4 linked regions of the Caenorhabditis elegans genome follow. The protein of the gene in region 4 interacts with the protein of the main gene of each other region in a pairwise test. Each region holds a gene or a part of one and is shown on either strand. Other genes may lie near its edges.

Region 1 (5,502 bases), on a different chromosome or scaffold from region 4:
ATGAAGAACTCCTTTGATCTGAAAGTCTCAAACGTGTGCGTCATTGGCTAATTGTACTTCAAGGGGGCTGGTTTTAGATGTTGGAAAATAAGCTAGTAATTACAGGTAAAACTAATATTTTCTCGTTCTGGGGAAGGAAAGAAAAAGTGTGGAAGTTGCGAGGAAATAGTTCACTTAGCTCAGTAAATTAAATTGTTTCTTTTTCCGAGGAACTACAACCCGTAGCAAAAACCTATTTAGTTATTGGAATAGGTATCACGAAGGCGTTGACAAAAAAACACACCTACTATATTTTAATGCTGAATTTTCAAGAAGTTTCCTCCATTAATTTTTAAAACTATTTTTATACAATTTACACAATTCTTTGACGGAAACATTAATTATAGAGTTACATAAGTCTTTTACAAGGGTTCGAAAATCTTTTGAAAACCAGCTAGTTGAACCGTTTTCTTTTACGAGGAAAACAAATCTTATTTCAATCAAGGTGACGGAATAATTGAAAATTTTCTCGTTTTTAAACCAACAAACCCAACACAAAAACGTAGCATTTAGGATTATTTTTGAATCGAGACAAAGTGTGAGAATTTTTAAGATTTCGTGATTTTATGATTCATGGACAATTAAAAATGGAATCATTGAGATCAGATTATCGACTGACATTCAATTACTTATTCGCGCAAACGTGAATATTTGAACAAGTTCAGAACACAAGTTTTGGCAAACATGTAATGAAATTCAAGATTTGGGAAGGAAAATACATTATGAAATATATATATATAAATGGAATATATTGTTTTAAAAATTAAAAAAATCTTCATCAATCTTCATCATCTTCCTCTTCGAAATTTCCGCAAAACGCGTTGAAGTCAGTTGTGTCCATTTCTTCTGAAATGAAAAAAGAGAATAAAAAAAAACAAGAATGCAAGAGCAGCAAAAAGTTCGAAAGAGCCAAGCCATTTGGTTTGTGATTTATGACGTGGCAACTCAAACTTTTCTGGATTTTTGCTTTCTGTGCGTATTCTGGTGTACTGCCACATCAGTGTTGCTTAGATTTTCGAACAAGACAACAGACAATAATTGGAAACGCGTTATATATAATTATAGGGAAACTACTCAATAATTAAACATCATGAAATTCGAAGAAAAAATTCTATGAAAATAGATTTGAACAATCAAAAATGAATGATTGAGAAACTTTAAATACAGAAAATTAGAGAAACGTGAGACATGTTTCCCTGCCTAAGCGCCTATCTATTGCCTGTTTTATGGAGTTTTAATGGAGTTTTCAGTTATAGCCGGAATTTCAGTGAACGGAATAGATTTACGCATGCTTTAAGACAGTAGGTAGGCATATGTGTAGGCACGAAACAGGCACTTATCGCCACGAAAGAAGGTAGTTTTTTTTCATCTATATAAATTATTTGCTTAGAGATTTCGGATCTGAGTTATGAACAAAGTCCGATTTGAAAAGTTTTAGTGTCAAACTTAATGTTTATGCAACAAAACAACTTGTTAAAATGTTTACTAGTCACTATCTATTTTTTGAAATTTCAGAGCTATTACTGCGTTTTCCAGATTGAATCTTTAAACTAACCATTTCTAAAATGAATTGGCGGAGGAATGAGCCCACGTTGCTCATAATGTCTCAAGTAATTGCACAAATGTTTGAGCCTCCGTTCCTTACTTCTCCGGTTTTGGAACCAAACCTGAATTACTCTCATGCTTAAACCGGTCTCCAATGCCAATTTGGCTCGAGCATGTTTCGACGGCTTTGGTGTATTCGAGAACATTTCATTCAGCACGTCCAACTGAAAATCATTATGAAAATTTCCGCTTTCTTACATTGTATACCTGATTTTGTTTGATTGTCGTTCTAGGTCCGCGTCTTTTTAGCATTCGTGAATCATCATCACAGAAATCGGAAAAGCTATAATGCTCAAAGTTGTATCCATAAGCGTCAACCTCCTAAAAATTAAATATGCAGTACATTATTCGGTATTTAATCCCTTTAAACTTTCAACGAAAAATAAAGTATACCTTTTTAACTTGGAAAGCTGATGAAAAAGATTCATCAATTGGATATGGGGCAATTGGATTTTCTGTCGAACAAGATGGTATATCAACTGCAGATCCTATTGCTCCAGGTGCGTTGTCATCCATTTGAGGAGGATAATGTGACATACAGGATACGGTCATCATTGTATCGTCAACAAGAATTTGTTCCCCCGGTGATAAATGCCGTCCACACAAAGAGCAACAATGACATTCCACATGGAACACGAGCCCAGCCTGTAAAGTTCTTTGAGTCAAACTTTACCGATCAAAGCCCCAAGCTCTATGCTTGTGCGTCTAGCAGGATCCCGTCAGAGCAAAGAGCAAAGCGTAAAAAATGATTACATCTTTCAAAACTATTAGTCAAAGCTTTGGTTTTTTTTTTAATTTGAAATTGTAGGCTTTTTGAAATCTTTCGGGCATTCCTACTGTTTATACAAAAGTAGTCAAAAATTTAATTGATAAAAAGTTGACAACTTTTTGTATAGGTTCGCTCAAAGTTTAATGTTTTCTTAAACATTCTGACCCAATTTAATACCTTCAGTTTATATACCATATCTGTCGGTGACACTCCTTTCTTGCAACCCGCACACCGATGAATACTGTGATCCCTGAAATAATGTATTTTTATTAATTCCAAGAATATTTTGCTAAAGCTTACTTATAATAATGTTGACTACAATAAATTCTCCCATTTTTCCAAAAACACTTTTCGGCCAGAGGAGACTCACATATTGTACATTTGACACAATTTTCGTGATACGATCGATTGTCCATCTGAAAATAAATGATGGCTGAAATCTTGAAATGTTGTTCGAACTATAGAAGCAAAAGAAAAATATTCAAGATTTTGAGCAGACTGTTTACAGAAGCAAAGCAAAGAAAGTTTGAAAAATCCACAAACATCAGCAAACTTACTCGATAAATATAACGATCATAAATTTGCTCATTGCAGCAATTACATTTGTTCTAGAAATATTTAAAAAAATTATAGAATGTTAGACACAAGTTTCACTAGAGATCGTATCGATAAAATGAGATTGGAAAATAGAATGAATACCAACCAAAAGTTTACACGATTGACTTTCAGAATCTAACTTTCAGAATTTTTAGAAGATGCGGTAATTTTACTTGACTCTCTGAAAGTCGAACAGAAATTTTCCCTCGTGCGGATTTTGTATAAATTTCAAATTGGAATTTCTTGACACGCAGAAGTCTTTGTAAAAACTTTCAAGCAAATGCAATGTAAGTTTTCGATTGATGTTAATTTCATTTTTCTGACTCTCAAATTGTTACTTTTAAATTTTTTTAAAGAAAAATTGTTTTCTGATGAAATTCACAACTGCTCAAGTTTAATTACTCACCTGATTTTCATGATCAACTCCAATTGAATCAATAACCATACTAATCGCACTGAGAGGCTTTGACTCTAACATTTCCATAGTTCAAATGAAATAAATCAGAAGAACAAATAACAGTGAAATTTAGAAGAAAATGCGCGAAATTGTGGCTACTCACTGTAACAAATCACCCGTCAAGAGCCAGATGTCATGTAGGCGTGGCATGCCAATCCAACAGGAGTCTCTAGACCCTGATCGATTATTAATGTGCGCTAAAACTGGTGTCTCCAAATGGTGACGATAATAGATGCATTTCTTATGAAGCTAGAAAGTGTGTGTAAGGATAAGCACTAAAAAGTTGTCTAGTTGGAACGGGCTCTCTCTATCGATCTCCTGACGGTCACTTGTGTTTTTCGGTCGATTCATTATGGGCAATGCATTTCGAATGAATTTGTTGTTTTTTCAAATGTTGTGTGAAGAATATATGGAAAGGACGTTGTAAAGTTTTATAAAAATTTGAATTTGAATAATCTTGTTCTATTACTCCATAGTTACAAAAAAAAGGAACGGAACGGCGGTGGAGAGTTTCTGACTATGCTAATTATTGGAAAATGTTATACTTGAGAATTCAGATTTTCTATACAACATTAAAAATTATGGTATGGACGTCTTCATTACTGCCAGCCTACTACTTAAAAAAAGCTTTTACAGTGAAGTTTCACCCAATCTATAGTTTGGGAGGTAAAATTCCGCGACATTTCAGTAGGTGGGTGCGTGTCTTGGCAGGAGGCATGCGTAGGTATCCTTAAAATCATATCGAATCATTTGCTCCAACTCGGCATTTGGAGGCAACTTCCTGCCAACAATTTGGCAACTTATTTTAGTGGCACTAAATAAGTTGCCAGGTTGTTGGCAGGAAGTTGCCTCTGAATGCCGAGAAGTACAAAAACTATCAGTATGTATTCATTGTTTGTTAAAAATTGAAATGCAGTCCAGAGAGTTTTCAAAATCATTTCCAAATTGTGAGCGTAACTACTCAGTTGTTGGTGTGTTTCGCTTATTTTCTCCTTTCAACTGGGTTTTTTTTTCAATTTATGTTCATTGATATTTCATGAGTTTTAATTTTCGTTTTGATTGACAGTACGGAACTGTCACAAGATAACAGTAAACCTGTCAATAATGTTAAATTTGATCTTTGTAGAAATGAAAGTACTAATTTAAATGTAAATATTTGCATTTGTGAAAAATAGAAGCCAGAAAATGAGAAAATGAAACCAAAAGTCATTTTCTAAGTAAAACGCGATATTAGAGGCTGCTGGGCAGAATTCCAAGAATTTAGAAAATTGCAGAAAACATTTGTTTTGATAAATGTCTTTAGGAATGAAATCTCAGAATACGCCAAGTTTTGCATATTTTATTATCCTTTTACAAAGTAATCAACCAGATTGTATTAATTGTTATTTCGCAACTAACAAAACCCCTCGTTTCAGTGCTCATTTTGAGTTTTAGTCAATTTCTACTCCCTTATTTGCAACTAACCATGCATATAACTGATAAAATAGGCAGATGATAAACTTGTCACTTTATTTGTTTTACAGAAATTAAAGACCCAAAATCACAATGAATGCTCTAACTTCTGCGCGTTTTTATCAAGAAACAGACTGTGTGTGATGACACACCAGCTCGGTGATAAATCAAAGAAAATGAGATCATTTTTCGTAGTTTTCCTTGAATCACAGAACTGGGCAGAAGCCTTATTCACGTGAATATGAGCATGATACGGTATTAGGTACACTTTCTGAAAAGATGAAAAATTCAATTTCTGATGAAACACATTTCTTCCTGATAAGGTAGTGAAATGGCCCCAAAAGATAAAATTTCAAAATGAAACTTTTTATAAATTCTATATTTTTTGGTGGTTAAAATTTTAACAGAGAAAGTCTGAATTTATATAAGATAACACCATTTCTATCTTCGCCAACTACTCCGGGTACCTGCAGGGCAAAATTAAAAAAAAACACATCGCTCCTCATTTTGATAGTTTATTCCGAGAGTTTTAAGATGTAATTTTTATCCATAAAAATCCGAAAATAGCACAATCGAAGATCAT
Region 2 (3,846 bases), on a different chromosome or scaffold from region 4:
GTCAAACATATAATCTTAAAGTATCAATATGCACCACCTCAACTCGTTTACCTCTTTAATGAGCCACCTGCACTGCTTTTCGTCTGCGTCTCTCACTTCTTCATACTTTTTTTTCCCGGCTTTCTCCGAAAACATCTGCTCTTTCTCTGTGTGTTCCCGATTCCCTCAAATCTTTTTTTGTTCCCCCGCGAGAGGGATATTCAAAACGTGTGTCTCATAAATGTAATTTATATTCTAGAATCTGAAATTGGTTGTTTTTCCAAATTAAAAGAAGTATCATTGATATCCCCAACCCTGTGTATTAAATGTCTTAAAATCAGAAATCATCTTCTCTCATTATCACAGCTTTACCATTCAAACATTCCCCCAAATTGTCTTTTTCTTCACCTTGTCCTGCTTTGGTTGTGCTTTAATTGTGAATTTCCCAACTCCTTTATGCTTCTTTTTTACTTCCTTCCTTAAAAAACTTTGCCATCATCCAACGTTTGTTGTATTTTGTCTTCCATTCATATTTTCAAAATGAAAACTTCATAAAAATGAAAGGAACAAGTGCAACAGAACAAAACAATTACACGGGCGTTAGAAAGACAGGGATGTGGGGAAAATTCAGGGGAAAAACTATGCTGATGGTTTTAGAATGTTCATCTCATTTTCAGTGTTAGTGATCATACTGTAGCAGATTTGAGAGATATCGACTTCTGGAGAGCCCTGAAACAAAATAATACAATTAAGAATTAGCAATATTTAACAACTCACCATTTCAAGTTCATTATTACGAATCATCAATTGAACACGAGAATGATAGCTTTGGTGTTGACGATACATATCTACGTCGGCGAATACTCTCATGCATTTCTGAAAATAAAGTTTACAGGATATTCAAGATTTAATTTTCAATTATTTACCGTGCAATAATTTGGTTCTTCAGCTTCTTTCTTATCATGAGAAGCATACATATGCAGTTGACAATCCTCTCTTCCACTACATTCGCACTTGCAAATTGGGCATCGAAAGCTGTAATTTTCAGATTTTGCATGGGATATTAGTAAGACAATAATTATAATAATTTGCGGTAAAAATACAAACGCTGGTCTTTTCACGTCTTCTTTTTTTGTAAAATACAAAAGGGCGTGCGCCTTTAAAGAGTACTGTAATTTCAAATTGAATTGAAACTTACATCTCAAACTCGAGTGGTTTAGCTTGTTCTAGAACATCGGATGCCATGTGACAGTTAGTCAATCGCATTGTAGCTCTCATGATTTTATCGTCAAATGAAGATAGTGGGATAAGCTGGTTTCGGCAGATCATATCAACCCATTTTGAAGGATCTTTACCCAATAAAAGTTTCGGAACCGATCGCTTCTTCTCTGGATTGTAATAGGGCATCGATGTCCCACGAATGACTAGAGCATCGGACGGAATAATTCCAGACGAACGCCGATTGCTGAAATCATTTTTAAGACGAGATAGATATCAGAATTCCCCTCGTACAACACATATAATTCGTGGTTCGTGTATTATACGGTGGACGTACAATAAATGTATTATTCACATAATATAATGGACGAAGTTCTTAAAATTCGTGCAATGCAATGTGAATAACATATTTATTGTACGTCCAATGTATAATATACGTACCACGAACTATTTGTGAAGGTGAAGGGTCGACCGATTGCCAACCTCGAATATGGTCTATAAGCAGCTTCCAACTCTTCTTTGCTTGTCACATGAGTTCGCATGTGCTTTTTCATGTTTCCTTTCAATCGGAACTGTTTTCCACAAAATGGACACACATAAGGGGTATAGCCGGTGTGAACGGTACGATGCTCGAACATATTCGATTTGTATCGGAATCCTCGGCCACAAACATCGCAGATGTATGGTTTGGTGTCGGTATGAATCACAGAGTGCTGTTGGAGACCTGAAATGTTTTTTTTTATTTCAGCTTTCTATTTTTATGCGAATAACCTTTATAATTCATAAACATTTTATTACACACATTACACTGATGAACAGCAAACGGGGCGACTTCTTCTTGTTGATAGGTTCCGAACTAGAAACATTTCAATAATCTTAAAAATAAGAATCGAAATAAAATACCGTTATAGAAGCTTCGTAGTCCTCGCCGTCGTAAGATGGATCCGTTCGGTCATCAATAATTGACATCTGAAGTAAAAAATAAAATTTTTTGAAGAAAAAATGCAGACAATTTGTTGGTTTAAACATAAAATTAAGACAAACAAAACTCATAAATTAATTGACAGCTTCTCTAAATTTTAGGATTACCGTGTTTGACAGTTTCGTGGTGAGACCCAAAAGTTTCGTTGCGTCATGCGCCTTTGAGCACAGTGTCCCCAACAAAGAATTGTTTCTGCAATTTCGAATTAAGCTGAAAACATTATTTATATATTTAACAAAATTAGTTTAGAACAGAAGAACAGAAAATTAGAACATTTTCGATCTTTGTATTTTTTATACAAATATAATTTGAATAAATTTCCATACTTCTTCCCCGTTGTGTAATTTCTTTACTTTTCAGAACTTAAAACATTCAATTATTCTTTATTTTGAATTTTCTGTAAAACCTGCGCAATTGAATTTTATGTATTTATCAAAACAATTTTCAGCCATGCTACAGTAACTTCTTTAAAATCATCATTCTTCCTTGTCTAAATCGGAAATCTGTCTGTGTCCCGTTGGTCTATTTTGTTATTCGTCTGCAGTTTCTTCTACTTGTGCACTATATCGTTTCCACTGAGCGAGAGAAAGAGTATACACACACAACACATGCCAGTTCCTGTCCTTTGCCGCCCATCACCATTTTTTTCACCGTTTCGGCTCTGAAATGGACAATTCGTCACAGAGCAAACCGTCTAGTAGTTCGTCCAGTCATTCGCCAAGTCCTGCCGCAATTGTAAGTTTAATGGATTTTGAGTAAAGAAAAATAACGTTTTCTTGTAAAAACAGTATTGTATTTAATTTTTAAAAAAATCAGTTGAAGACGTATAAAGCCTGCTTTTACCAAAACTATCAATAAAAATCACTGAAAACTCAATAAATTAATAAATTCAGACACCAACACAACGAACAACACGAGATTCCGGATTGTGCTCAACAATTGATATTCCCGAAATTCAAGCACAATGTATTGATAATTTAAATAGTCATTATCTCGGAAAAGGCACTTATGGATTGGTTGAGAAAACAAGATATAGAAAAACTAGGCAGGATGACTTTAGGTTCGTTTCTAGCTTCAAAAATTTAAATTTAATTCTTTTAAAGCATGAGGAATTATCAAAAGTTAACAAAAAATCAATAAAATCACCAAAATATTATTTTCAGGCCAGCAGCAATCAAATATTCTTCTCAACTTCATATGGCAACTCTTATAAGAGAAGCAAAAGTTATGTGGGATCTCAGAAATCATCCTAATATTATAAAGTATGTTTTTATAAATGGAAAATACTGAAAATAGAAGTTTTTCAGAATTTATGGACTGTACAAAAGCCCTCGGAATGGGCAAGGAGTCGTTATGGAATATATGGATTGTGGAAGCATGGCCGATTGTGAGATTTTCATTTAAATTTAGTGAAAATCCCCGATTTCGCCAAATTTTTTAACATTTTGTCGGTTTATTCCGTGTTTCTTAGCGAATTAAACTACATTTTTTCGGCAATAGGAACAGAAATTTCTATCAGCTAAAAATATATTAAAATACATCAAAAAAGCGGATTATACTGCAAAATATGGAAGAAACTGAATAAAAATCAATATATGGACGCTGTAACACGAAAAATCTGGCAAAAAAAATTTCACTATAATTTTGAACAAAAAAAATGCTATTTG
Region 3 (7,605 bases), on a different chromosome or scaffold from region 4:
GTTTAAATTTAAAAAAAATATGTTTTCTGAAACAGGAGAAATTGGGAAATACCCTATGGTACGGTAACGGAAAAGTTTCATTCGTGCTAAGACCTTGTCTATGGGTTTCTACATGGCCGCGGAAGAGAAAGCTCGGCCGCCAACTTTTTTTCTGGAAATTGCTGTACGATCAAGTTTGCATACAGAACCAAGACGATTTAAAAATGAAAAGTTTATTGAAAAATCAAAAATAATAAAAATAAATCAATAATTATTAGACTCGATGCGTCGTGTGTTTGTATGTTTGGAAGTTCTATACATTTTTCTCTCCAAAAAATGTTTGGTTTTTTAAAACCAAAACATTAAAAAACATGATTTCACTTTTTTTCAAAATTATTACCACCGGGGGTGTCTAAAACGGACCGGTTAACTGTTTAGGATTTGATCCTATTTTCCGAGATAAAACAAAGAGAGAGGGAACGAGAATGAGAGACGCAGAGCGAGAAACAATACAGTAATCCTGGGAAAGTGTGGGCGGAGCTCAGCTCAATTTGGGCGGGGACAGTGGGAAATCGATGCAAACGGAAGAATATCGGTGAAATTTGGGAATTTTCGAAGAAATTGATGACATGATTAGGTGGCGAAGAGACATAGAAAGATAGTATGTGGTTTGGTGAGAGACGAAAAGATTATTTGAATTTAAAAAAAATGGGGATTTTTGGAATAACACAAGCGGTCTTGAAGACGAGAAAAAAATCGGTAAATTGGTTGGTTCACTTGGTGAAAAATGAATGAAAAAATTAGAAAATATAACAAAATTGGTAAAAAGTGAAAATTCAAGAAAATATGAAAAAATCATTGAGTTTGAAACCAAAGATAAAAAGAGATTGTGTGGAAAATTAAGCAAAGAAGGGAAACATACAATTTTTCTAAAAATCAATAATTGGTCAAAATTATAGATCTTAGGCTTGCAGACCATAATTTTTCAGATACATACTCCAGAACTCATTCAAAATTGCTGCCGATGAGACAGAACCTGCAGAAATGCCTGGAAGGAGTGGAGCCTGTTGTCCGATTGATGGAGCCATATTTTGAATAATGCTCATCAGGAACTGTTGTTGTTGCAAGCTTATCAATTGTTGATTCATTGGGATCGGCGGATAGATTGGAATCGGAGCAGCCAGCGTCAGAGTGTATTGAGCCAGAAGTGGAGATGGAGAGCATGGTGGAGACATTGAAAGGGATGGGGACATTGTATCAGTGGTTGAGGATGGAGATGGACTTGCTGATGTTCCTGGAATATTATAGATTTAATTTCTTTGAAGCTACAATATAAATTTTAACTGTCTGCGTTGATATTTGCATCAAAATTACCACTTTTTTGTCTTCCCCTGAATTTTGAAAATACATTGGCTTAAGTGGTAATTATCTTTAAGGCAAAGTAACTTTCAGGGCAGGGCCCGCCTGATAGGTAAGCAGAAAGACATATTCTATAACTGAGAAGTTGTACCAATTTGAGATTCTAGACATATTTGAAATTAACCTCTTAACTTTCGTAATTGTTTATTGATGCGTTTGGATATTCCCGTATTTGATTGTTTCGGTACGAAAAATTGGAAATAACAAGTAGCCATTTTATATAATCTATGAGTTGATGGTAAAATCTATGTTTCTGATAACGTTAATACGTACCGTCAACTCTAGAATTACTTCCGACTGGATTTCAGGTTTAGACTCCAATTTTTGTGATTCTGACTTAAAGCTCAATTTACACACTTCTACAAAATCCCATAGCTTACCAATTATCTTTTGACCATCTGTAGCTGTGACAACCATCATCTCCATATCCATATCTTTCGATTTTCTACGAGAGTTCCTTTTTGGTTCTTTACCATCTCGGGATTTCTGTTGTGATCTGCGTAATTTGATTTGAGCCGCCATAAGATTTCGACGGTGTTCCACAAGAGTACACTGAAAAATAATATTTTTAAACTCGAAAATCGTAGTTCTGTTTACGCGTTTTCAAAAATCTCACACAAATTAATGTGGCAACTTTCTCTGTCAGTCCAAGAGCATGCTCCAAGTTGCCTGCTCCACAACAATTTTTAAAAAGTCAATTCGTAGCACTGTTGCATTAAAAATACTTCGAAATAGTTGAAACTTATCAAAATGTTTCAAAAAGTCACATTCTCAAATCTCATTGGCAAGCCACTCCCCCATTTCCCTACAGTACTTTTATAATCCTATAATTTCTTCGCGCAGGTGACATTGAAAAGCATAAAAACTGCAATGTTGTCAAGGGCGCCTGACTGCCGATGATGACAGTATAATTACACTTACCAATGTACACTCGCATGTCACAAATTGGCACATTGTCCGCTTGTGTCCCCGCAATGGGACTAGGACTCCGTGAGCCGAGCACCGAGCACAGTGTGGGTCACGGACACGCTTCCCATCACGGGTTTGAGTTGCCGGTGTGCAGTGGATCTGGAAATTTGGAAAGGTTTATAAGGGGTCCCGCTAAAAAGTGTTTTATTTTCACAGTAATATTATAGGAGTTAATGCAATCACAAAAACAATAACCAAGAAATTCGGTATAAACTTTCAGTAGGCTCAAGAATGCTTGCAGTCAATGCAGCCTACAATTGCCTCATACCTACACGCATACCCATGGTCCAAAGTGAGCATTTTTCTCATTTAAAAATACACTTTCAACAAATAACTGAAATAAAACAATAAGGTAGGTACGCCTATAGATGGCCAGGCAATGACCTATATGTGACTTGCCACAACAAGAGCCCCTTTTGAAAAAGAACAACTTCATGAAAAATATACCTACCCTTAAAAAAATCCGATAAAATCAATCTTTTTCTCACTTTTTCTTTGCTTTTCACACTCTATCTATTCGTATCTTCAATTGTTTTTCTTACAAAAAGAGAAAAAAGCCAAGACGTCAACCCACTTTTCATTTTGAAAATGTCAGATTTGATCTGAAGTTGCGATTTTTTGGTGAACTGATAAGATGTGGTATTTAAGTGCGTGAGAACGCACATACAACCTTCAAGACCGCCTACACCGCGAAACAGAAATGTAGGCAGACAGGAATGAGGTAAGGCACAGCCACCTACAGCCACACCTACCATAGAATCCCTATAGAATACTCACCTTCTTTTTGCTTAGCAAATTGTTCAACTGTCTTCGCTGCTCGACCATCGTGCATTCTCGACATGGACATTTTAGATATCTGTAAAATGTTCGTCTTGTTTATTTTTCAGTGCCACTTGGTGTCATCGACGGGAGAATTTTGTAGTTGTACAGTAACCCGCCCACCCATTCAAATATTTTATTAGACTTTTCACAATAGAGATAGGCCCTATCTTTTGTTAAAAATTATATGAACTGAAAAAATTGGGAGAAAAAAAAAATTGGGTGAGGAATTTTACGACTGTATAGGTCATTGTGGAATGGTTTGTTTGAAAAGTGAGTGTATCTGTGTGATTGGATGTCAAAAAATGAATGAAGATTTTTGAATGAAAAGCAAACATAATTTTTTAATAATTTTCGGTTCCAAAAAAAATAATAAAAAAGGCTGAAAAATTTTTAGTTGCTTGAATTGTCTCAAACTGATCCCAAACAACCAAAATTCATGATGTAACTTCCCAAACATATCTCGAAAAAAAAGAAGCGCTTTTTTGAATTTATCTAAACATTGGAAAAAATGATCGACCGAAGAAGAAGCTGGCAGAATTTCACTAGTTTTTTTTTTAATTTTTAACCGGATAGATATTATTTTTGTAAAGCCTAATAATGAAATTCGGTCGTTTCGGGCGAGTTTTGGATATTTAAACCAGAGAAGTACAAATTCTTTAAACGAGCGTTTAAAAAAACCTAAAAAGAGTAACACACCTTGATATACATATTATTAAATGTGTAGTAGCGAAATCAGGGAATTAAAAAAATTTCACATAGGTATTCAAAAAACTCTTGTAGTCATTTTAAAATGTTTCCCAGATTTCGCTAATCCATCTTCAATTTAGCTTAGTGATAATTGTCGTCATTGCAAGATCTTTTTGAGTCATCTTTCACCTTGGTGAAACATCTACAGTATCCCTAGACCACCTTCAAAATGGTTTAGGTTAATGTATAAAACATAACTTTTTGCCTCTTTGCATTTTCCCATTCTTCTCCTCCGTTTTTCGCGTCCATATAATAATTCGTTTTTGACCCCCCTCACTCATATAATAACAATTTCACCTGTATGGGTGGTATTTTTCGCTTTAAATCGACAAGGTCAGCTGTTTTTTCTTGCTTTGCGTCTTTTCTTGCCCGATCGTAATCGGTAGACGAACATCTCAAATTTTACGGGTGTCTTTGTCGGAGGGCTTCGCGAAAAAAAAAACTGATGGTGGGTGAATAAGGTCGGTGACGCGACAATTTTGAGATAAAATTTGGAATTTGGAGTATTTATGGATAAACTACATACTTTTTCGGCACAACAAAAGTTACAAAAAGTTCATTAAACAGTTGTTAACTTTTTATCGTTGCAAGACCCAAAATTATCAAAAAATTCAAGAGTTTAAGCATTAAAACGTGATGTATATAATTAAGGGTGAATGAGGGAGAAACATGGAATGACAAAATAGTTTTCAGATGAAATGTAGTTTAAAAATGCAAAAAAAACCATTGCTCACCTACAATCCGGCTTGTGACCTTTCCTTGGCTTCAACTCCCCATGATTTAAACATCTCTGACAATAATAATTTTTTTCTTGCTCGGCGAGCTCATCGACTGCTTTCGCCTCACAAATCTCCGATACGGGATCCTCGGTGAGCATTAGAGCTCCTCTGCAAAATTTTTTCAGATTATGAATTTAGTTGTTTTTGTTGAAATTTTTATTTTTAATTAGGGAATTAAAAAGAGGGATCTATAAGCATTATATGAAACTGCTATACTCTAATCTTGACTTATAAAATAATTACGAAATTTTGAAAATGTCGTGGAAAAGTCAAATTTTCAAGACTGATTTTTGTGAGAAAGAACATTTTTTCGCCAAAAATATTGTTCTTTGCATCGGAACAAATTTTCAATTTTTTAAAGGAGCAGCTGGTAATGCGAATTTTTTTTGTAATACTGTATCTTTTCTAGTTTCCAGTGTATATCTTTCGGATTAAAAAAATTTTCAAAGTAAAGTAAAAAAATTTTCTTTTCCTATAATGTTAAGAATTTTGAGAATTTAAAACAGAAAATTTAGAGAGCTTTGAAACCAGTTTTTTTTTCTTCAAAAATTACAGATAGCTCAAACATATATAAAATACGTTTTTATAATCTAAATGTTCAATTCAACGTTGGGCTCATTCTGTGACTTTAAATGTGGAATAAAGTTGGGCTACTGTATGTTTTTAAACCTGCAATAGTTAAAAATGTTAAAAACCAGTTTGAAATTTTTTCTTATAAAGAATTTTTCAGAACGGATATACATGGAATTTCAATATTTAATGGCAACAAAGTTTTATTAATTTACAGAACCGTATTGCTTATTTGACTTGAAGGAAAAAAAGAGCAAATAAATTTCTAAATAAAATACGTTTGAAGTTTTTCAAACCTAACTGCAAACTTTATAAAATCACAAAAATCGATTAATTGCAACTGGCAACATTTGATCGTGTTACAAAAGGTTCAATTTTTAATCAATTAGAGGTTTTTATCAAGAAATAATTTTTTGTAGAGACTAAAACCAAGACAAACAGACAAGTCAGGAGCTACAGTATTTCTACAATGTACATCAGATCAAATGTTCAAGTTTTTGTTAAGCCATTTTCTCAAAAATTTCAAAGAGTAGACTGTTAGGAAAGTCAGCCACAAATTGTAGACGCAAAGATGGAAACATTTTCACATAATTTTACTGTTTTCAAAAACCCCAAAAAATTATTCTGAATCGACTGGAAGCACCTACCCAAAAGTACAATTTCCTCCAACAAGGGGTCAAGATCGAGCTCCTAGAGCACCGATAGCATTCAAATATCGAAAAGAAAAGGAAAAGAGGGAGTAATAGGCACTCCCCTCCTGTGAAACGGGGCGGGTCCCAGCAAGAAAGAGTCGCGGCGACGAAGCGCCGCCTCTTTTTTGGCGACTGATGCCACCCGCGATTGGATAGAAGACCTCACACGACGATAATTAGAGAACGCCGAACGTGAGAAAACCTGGTAAGAGACGCCAGACAAACATATATCGGGAGGGAGCGGCGCCCCGAGACTATGGCGGTGGAGGGGGACACCGCTATCAGTTCTCGCGACGACATATTTTTTCTCTGGCTGACACTCCGCGAATCGTGTGATCTCTGCGTTTTTTGGGGACACCTGTAAGTACGTGTGATCATGGAAAGAGAAGAGACGAGAGAAAATTGCAAACTTTTAGTTTTTTATTTTATTTCCTGTAACTCAATTTTTATAGGTTTTGTTCGAACTTTTATTATCATTCGTTGGGTAGGCTTTTCTAGACTTTTCTGTATTTTAGAAAACTATTAAACATTCCTGGAATGTGACCTACCTTGCTTTAAAGGAAATTGAAACTATGTCTAGAATTATGGATCCACAAGTTGGAACCTTGGAGCCTATATAGAAAGCTTAATTATATTTTTTTTTCGAGGAAAAATACAATTCTTGAGCTTTTTTTCAGTCCATAGGGCCAAGATCCCGGCACCGGGCTGTAGAAAAAATTAGGACTGGAAATTCATAACTGCTCCCATGTGACCTAATTAATATTCATAAGCTAAGTACTTTCTTTCAGCTTTTACTAGCTTTTTTCATTTCTTCATTTGAATCTTAACCCCCCAACCCAACCACAATTTTTTTTCTGAACACCCGCGTCACCAGTTTCAGATTGATTACATATCTAAGCCTACAGTAATCCAATATTTCTCAATTTCGCCTAATGAGCACCTTCAGGTCTTGTGTTCAGTTAGCAGAGAGAGAATGAAAATTGGCAGTTTCAACGCACACATTTGATCTCGACTGTGTCCTCGAAATGGAAAGGAGAAGAAGCGGTAGAAACAAAGTGGGATTGACAAGAAAATTACAGAGGAAACATTTTTGGTAAAGGTTGATTTGGACCTGAAAATATATTAGGAATGTTTTCGAGAGAAGCTACCAAAAACTTTGAAAAGTAATAGTTTTGTTGAAAACTGTCTTACCAACTGTCAAAGTTCTAGTGACTCACTATTTAGTCAAACCGTTTTTCAATTACCAAGATTTGAAGTTTCAGTCAAAAATTATTGACCTGCAATGGATAACAATTTTCAATATGACTTTTAAAGTTTCAGTAATTTAAATTTCTCAAATTTTCCCGAACCAAAGATATTTCCAGTTCCACTTTATAAATGTCGTTAAAAAATTTTAGGTTTGAGAACCAACTTTCTAAAGGAATTGCTGATAAATTTTGACTAAATTCTTGTTTTCAAATGTTGCCGAATGGACTGTATTTACTCTGAACATTCTCTGTACTCCAAAGAGATCACCACATCGAGTCTAGACAGTCTCAACTCGCTCACTACCCGCCCCGCTGATTGTTTCGCTCGTAGGAAAAAAACGGCTGAAGTGTGAGAGTGAACGAACATTCCGTCGTGTTTAT
Region 4 (5,543 bases):
AAAACGCTCCGCCTCCTAACGTTAGGTCTCGGTAGGAGGCGGCGAGACTGTAAATTCAAACTTTTTCACTATTTTTTCGATTGTTTTTTGTTGTTTTACATATTTTTTATGTCGAAATGATGTTTAAAATACTTGTCGTTTCGAAATTATAATATAGTCAGAAATAACCGAAAAAATAACAAATTCCTAACGGGACCCAACGTTTAGGGGCGGAGCACTTTTCGTTTTACATTGGAGCGCGCTTTCGCTTAGATTTCAAAAAACTCTATAATATACAATTTTGGATTTTTTTATTCAGATTGTTAAAAATTCGAGTCCTGAAATTAATTTTTTGAATATCTTTCAGGTTGTCACTGGCTGCAAGCATGTCTACGCCTCAACTCGTTCCCGCCGTGATCTGATCGCTCAGGCGGTTGCCGAATATCTTCAGAACGCTTAATGATTAGAAAACTTCACTTTTGCAGTTATAAACTTACTTGTCTATATGATGAATTTTAATTATTTGAACTGCAACAAGAAGATTATGAAATTCAAGAATAATTTCATTAAAAAAATAAGTGACTAATAAGTCAAATTATTACACAGAACAAATGAAATGAAATGAGGCGTACGCTCTCTGAGCGGTGTGGGAATGATAAAGGGATAGCGTAAGCTTTTCGGTGTGTAGATGCGAGATAAAACGGAGTGTTATATTTTAATGTACAGGTTGAGATCGTCGTGGCGAGAACACATGTCGTTGTTGCTAGAACATGATCTGCGCCTGAAAAAAAAGTTCATAAAATAATTTAAAGATATATTCCCGGAGACTTTTTGCTTTTGTGCCGGTTTTTCGATTTTTGGATATTTCGAAAAAAATTGCGAGAGTTCAAAAATTATTTAAAATCTGCCACTATTCTTTTTTTTAGAAGAATAGTATGTTTTGTGAAAATATTTCTATTTTTTTTCGATTAAAAAATCGAAAAAGACAATTTTTTAGTTTTTCGGAAAATCGAAAAACCGACATCCTTGTTACTGTTTAAATACCTTATTAAAACTAAAATAATTAAAATAAATTTTTCTTTTAAAACTTAAAAACATTGATTTCTATTTTTTTTTCTCATCAACATATACAAAATTTGATTTAAAAAAACGGTTTTTTAAAAATAAATTTCTGAAAAGTTTTTTTTTTAATTTTTCAGTTTTCCGGACGTTCCAGATTTTTCAAAATTACAATTTGGTTAAAATTAGGTTTATTTTTTTTCGTTTTTTCGAAAAAAAATTCGCAAAAACTGAAAGATTTGAGTTATAAATTTTTGATAAATTTAGTAAAAAGAAAAATGATTTTATTAGAAAATTTCAATTTTTTGACACTGTAAACCAGTATTTCCATTTTTTTCCTTAGTATTTAGTATTTCCAGTGTTTAGGTGTTTTTTTTTGAAAAAGAGCAAAAAACTGGAAAAAAATTGTAGGGTCAAATTTGCTCAAAAAAGTGCAATTTCTGTTGTTTGTATGAAATAGGGCGTAAACCGTTTTTTTTTAAATTTTTTTTTTGGTTCTGCCAAAAACGAAATTGTTTTTTTTTGGTTTTTTGAAAAAAAAATGTTATCACGAATTTAATTTAATTTTAATTTTCAGTTTTTAGCCGTAAACACGAATTTTTGATTGAAAAAAACTCACTCTTTTCTTTCCGTACTCTTTGGGTCGCCATTGCAGAGCTGCTGGATTAATTCGTGTCTTCTTTTTCGCAGCCTCAATCCGTTTCTCATAAACTTGACGCTTTTCATCACTAATCACAATTATGTATGATCCCTTATAGTATTTGTATAGATCAAGTTGCTGTAACGTTGACACAACATCTTCTCGTTTAATCGATGTACTTTGTGAAATGTCCTGAACTGTGATATCTTCGCCTGGATGTCGTCTTTTGAATGCGAAAAGCTCTTTCATGATGGCCATTGACCAGTACGATCGATATGAGAGAAGTCCCAAATCTGATAGTGGTTTTTCGGGTGATCCTGTCTTCTGTTCAATTTTCGAGAGTTCATAGCTGAATTCGATGAGCAAACTTCCGTATCCTTTCTTTTGAAATGGAGGTAACACAAGAATACACGCAACATTATATTCTTCAGCTGATTCTTTTTCTTTTGAAAAGTATCCAACTATATGATGACCCTTCTCGTCTTCTTCGGTTAGCACATAGAACAAAAATGGATCCGTGTCATAGTAAAGAGTCTTGTGATCCAGAAAAAGTTTGGCAAGCAGGCATAGATTCTGAGCATAGCTTTTGTTTTTGCGGCCGTCGATTTCAAAAAATGAAAGTTTATCGTGACTGTAGATTTGATTGCCAGGTGGGTGACACATTGCACATTTTTCCTGAAATAAAATTAATTAGAATTGGGCATTTTAATTAAATGATAGAAAATGAAGAGTATGGACCGAATGTAATTGTTTAAAAAATTAAAAATTTGTCTATTTTTTACGTTTTTTTTCCATTTTGCAAAATAGAAAAAGTAGCTGATTTTAATTTGAATTCCCACGCAGAATAATGGCCTATTTGCGAAACTTTTTTGATTACGATAAATTTGGTTTGAAACACCGTTTGTGAATTTTTTTTTCGTTTTCGCAAAAAAGTATTTCAAAAATGCAATTTTTGGAGCAAATTCCCAGAATTTGCGATTTTTTTCGATGCCGGAAAATTTTAAAAACATTGTTTCAAAACTAATATCAACGGAAAAAGCAAGAAAAACCGAAAAATTCAGCCAAAAACACACAAGAACTCGAATTTTTTCGAATTCACCGATTCTTTCATTTTTGGAAAATTGAAAATTTTTGAATTTTGAAAACAGTTATTTATATTCGGTCATTTTCTATAACTCGAAACACTCACCATGTGCCGTTTCAGACAAGTTTTCGACTTTAGATATTTCAGACAAAATTCGCAAATATAAATACAATCCAAACTTGTCAATTGTTGTGGATAAGGTGCAAAGTACCATGGCTGAATTCGTGATCTTCCTAGTTCAATGCATTCGACATTTCGGATCCTTGTCATTGCATCTTCACTATGGCCGACCATCGACATGGAACCTCGAAGACTTGGAGTAGATCCGCTGGTCATCGTTGAAATTGCTTGTAATGGATCTACGGATTCCGCCTTGAGATCATCCATCGGAAGTAGTGGAATCTTTCGTTTTCGGCCGCTTTTCTTTCCTTCATTTTCATTCGAATCTCGACTGAAATAATTATGAATTGATAAAACTATTTAAAATCTTTTGAAAAGTTTATAGATTTCTCACTTTTCTTCCCGCAAGTGTGCTCCTTTCTTTCCTCCTTTTTTTGGTAGCTCACACGACGCTAAATTGAGCCTATCAGACTGAACCCATTCGTCAAGTCTTCGGTTGCAATCGATATAATGGACATAGAATTTAATTGAACCATTTGCAGCTCGGCATCTTGAAATAACTTCGGCCCATCCTGAAAATAATTGGAAAATGTGTTTAAATAGATGTAAAAACTAACTTTCTTCTTCTTGTGAAGCCATCATGACCAATAACCGGCATCCCTCTGTAACTTTCTCGTATTGCCTGGGATCTGTTGGTATTTTCTTGGATATTCCATGATTTTCGTCCTCTATAATCTCCTTCTTCGGCTCGGTCATGATAAATATCTGGAAATAGTACAATTTTGTGTGAAAAATTCAATATTCAATAATATAGCAATCAAATGTGAACGATAGTACTTTCTTGCGTGCATAATCCATGAACAACATCTAAAAATCGATCCAAAAATGAACAAACTAGTTTTTTAATTTTAAAATAATATTATCCGTTGTTAGTTTTACTATTTTATCAATAAAAAACTTTAAAAATGCAAGAAATAATTGTGAAATCATGCTCGAAAAAAATAAAACGCGCCGGCTGGCCTAGAAACCAACCTCGGCCGCACTGCGCCGGCCACAGGGAAAAAGGGCGGCAATTCAAAAAAGAATAACAAGGGTGGTTGAAAATTGACCGCGGCATAACGTTTCAAGGCAATTATTTTGCGAAATGATCTTGAATTAAATTATTCGAATTGAAAAATAGTTATTTATAATGTACGATTGTACTTTCAAAAAAAAAACGATCACAAGAAAATTAGGAAAACGCAAATTTTTGAAGATGCTTAAAAAATGAACTGAATTCAGTGGTAAAATTTCAGATATCTAGATGTCCATTGCACTGTTGAGCCACGAACAAAAAAATTTAAATCAATGCTGCGCGAAAAGGTGTGCGCCTTTAAATGGTACAGTAGCCGAGTTATTGTTCACGAGATTTTCTCTGAAAAACATAATTTTGTTGAAAACCGAAATTGAAAAGCATGAAAAATGAAAATAAAACAGCAAAATTTTAGCTTAAAAAATCTAGGAAAAATCAAAAATCGAAGAAAGTTGCGAAATAAGAGAGAATGGATTACTGTACTTTTTCATCAAATTCCAAGTTTCCAACTTCAATTTTTCCTACATACTTTCGAGTCATGTGTTGCAAGAATGTATCGGTCTTGACCCTGCAAGCTTTAGATTCAAATGAATTCCTTCAATTTCAAAATTCAAATGTTACATTCAAATGTTGAATCCGGCATCATCGGAGCAACTACGAAGCACACAAAAAATCCGAAAACAAAAAATCAAATATCAAAAAGCGACAAGTGACAGGATGAGATGAAGAGACGAAGAGTTGAAAATCATTGAACTGATTGAACGCGTCACATCAAAACACCTGTTCGAACAAGATTGATAAGAGAGCCTCTTCCTCGTTTATTTTTCCTCTTTTTCTTATTATTCTTCCTTCTTCTTCTTCCCATTTTCCGATCATTATGATTATCATAACACTCGTGAAAGAATACGACCTTCTTTGTAATCTATATATCTTTTTCGTCATTTCTTTTCTCTTTCGATCACAGAAAGTAATTGATCGTCGTTTCAGGTTTACCGCCGTCTCCGTTTACTTCTACTATTTTCCATTTTCAATTAGAGAAGACGGTTTGACCCATACTCTATCATGTCACTATATTTTATACTAATTGTTACTATAATAATCCCACAATTTGAATTTATTCATTCACCTTTATCTGAAAAGGATATTGTTACATTCCGCTTCAATTTGGTAAATCGTCTTGATCAGTGCACATTATGGAGATCAAAACTAGATAAAAAAGTTTCAAATACGTTAGATCATTTTTTAATGAACTCAAAGTTTGATGAATTTCGAGAAGCATCTACACAATTAGCTGCAGATATATACCCGGAAAGTATTGACTGCCTTGACTCTTGCTCTTATGATATTGAACAATTTAATGATTTCGTGAAATCTGAAAGTTTAACTACAAAGAATGATCTTGGAGACCTTCTTGATAACGAGCAAATTTATCAGTTGCATATGCTTTTGGAGAAAACAAAACGGCCGGATATCGTGGAAAAAGGGGTGAGTTATTGAAGTTTCAATTTTAATTTTAACGATTAAAATTCTATATAACAACTTATGTTGTTTTATAATATTTTTTATGGGAAATGGATGAAAAAATTTCA

What was found.
Region 1: the proteins of mys-1 (region 4) and mec-3 interact in a two-hybrid assay, tested with the Caenorhabditis elegans proteins (one large-scale study listed by BioGRID).
Region 2: the proteins of mys-1 (region 4) and lsl-1 interact in a two-hybrid assay, tested with the Caenorhabditis elegans proteins (one large-scale study listed by BioGRID).
Region 3: the proteins of mys-1 (region 4) and mab-3 interact in a two-hybrid assay, tested with the Caenorhabditis elegans proteins (one large-scale study listed by BioGRID).

The regions. Positions count from the first base shown.
Region 1 is NC_003282.8:10,458,273-10,463,774, forward strand, and holds mec-3 (Mechanosensory protein 3), read right to left. Parts: upstream 3,596-5,502; 5' UTR 3,495-3,595; coding exon 3,417-3,494; intron 3,022-3,416; coding exon 2,971-3,021; intron 2,830-2,970; coding exon 2,714-2,829; intron 2,664-2,713; coding exon 2,591-2,663; intron 2,290-2,590; coding exon 2,038-2,289; intron 1,966-2,037; coding exon 1,852-1,965; intron 1,809-1,851; coding exon 1,595-1,808; intron 886-1,594; coding exon 818-885; 3' UTR 544-817; downstream 1-543. UniProt on the Caenorhabditis elegans protein: Transcription factor. Specifies differentiation of the set of six touch receptor neurons (TRNs).
Region 2 is NC_003279.8:9,899,599-9,903,444, reverse strand, and holds lsl-1 (C2H2-type domain-containing protein), read right to left. Parts: upstream 2,167-3,846; coding exon 2,101-2,166; intron 2,054-2,100; coding exon 1,969-2,053; intron 1,922-1,968; coding exon 1,681-1,921; intron 1,445-1,680; coding exon 1,178-1,444; intron 1,015-1,177; coding exon 906-1,014; intron 856-905; coding exon 757-855; intron 709-756; coding exon 619-708; 3' UTR 516-618; downstream 1-515. Other genes in the region: Mitogen-activated protein kinase kinase kinase mom-4, read left to right, coding at 2,846-2,914, 3,073-3,239, 3,343-3,441, 3,487-3,566.
Region 3 is NC_003280.10:9,730,630-9,738,234, reverse strand, and holds mab-3 (Protein male abnormal 3), read right to left. Parts: upstream 6,005-7,605; 5' UTR 5,933-6,004; intron 4,824-5,932; 5' UTR 4,814-4,823; coding exon 4,671-4,813; intron 3,225-4,670; exon of another isoform or gene 3,224-3,224; coding exon 3,145-3,223; intron 2,467-3,144; coding exon 2,320-2,466; intron 1,951-2,319; coding exon 1,779-1,950; intron 1,274-1,778; coding exon 942-1,273; 3' UTR 200-941; downstream 1-199. UniProt on the Caenorhabditis elegans protein: Transcription factor which binds the DNA motif 5'-[CGA][TCA][TA]ACAATGT[AT][TGA]C-3', probably as a monomer.
Region 4 is NC_003283.11:7,081,016-7,086,558, forward strand, and holds mys-1 (Histone acetyltransferase Tip60 homolog), read right to left. Parts: upstream 3,648-5,543; 5' UTR 3,639-3,647; coding exon 3,500-3,638; intron 3,455-3,499; coding exon 3,277-3,454; intron 3,214-3,276; coding exon 2,868-3,213; intron 2,354-2,867; coding exon 1,658-2,353; intron 761-1,657; coding exon 743-760; 3' UTR 530-742; downstream 1-529. Other genes in the region: npa-1 (Polyprotein allergen nematode domain-containing protein), read left to right, coding at 347-439; VC5.2 (Laminin EGF-like domain-containing protein), read left to right, coding at 5,017-5,439. UniProt on the Caenorhabditis elegans protein: Probable catalytic subunit of the Tip60 chromatin-remodeling complex. Plays a role in acetylation of nucleosomal histone H4 and perhaps also H2A, probably acting as a component of the Tip60 histone acetyltransferase complex.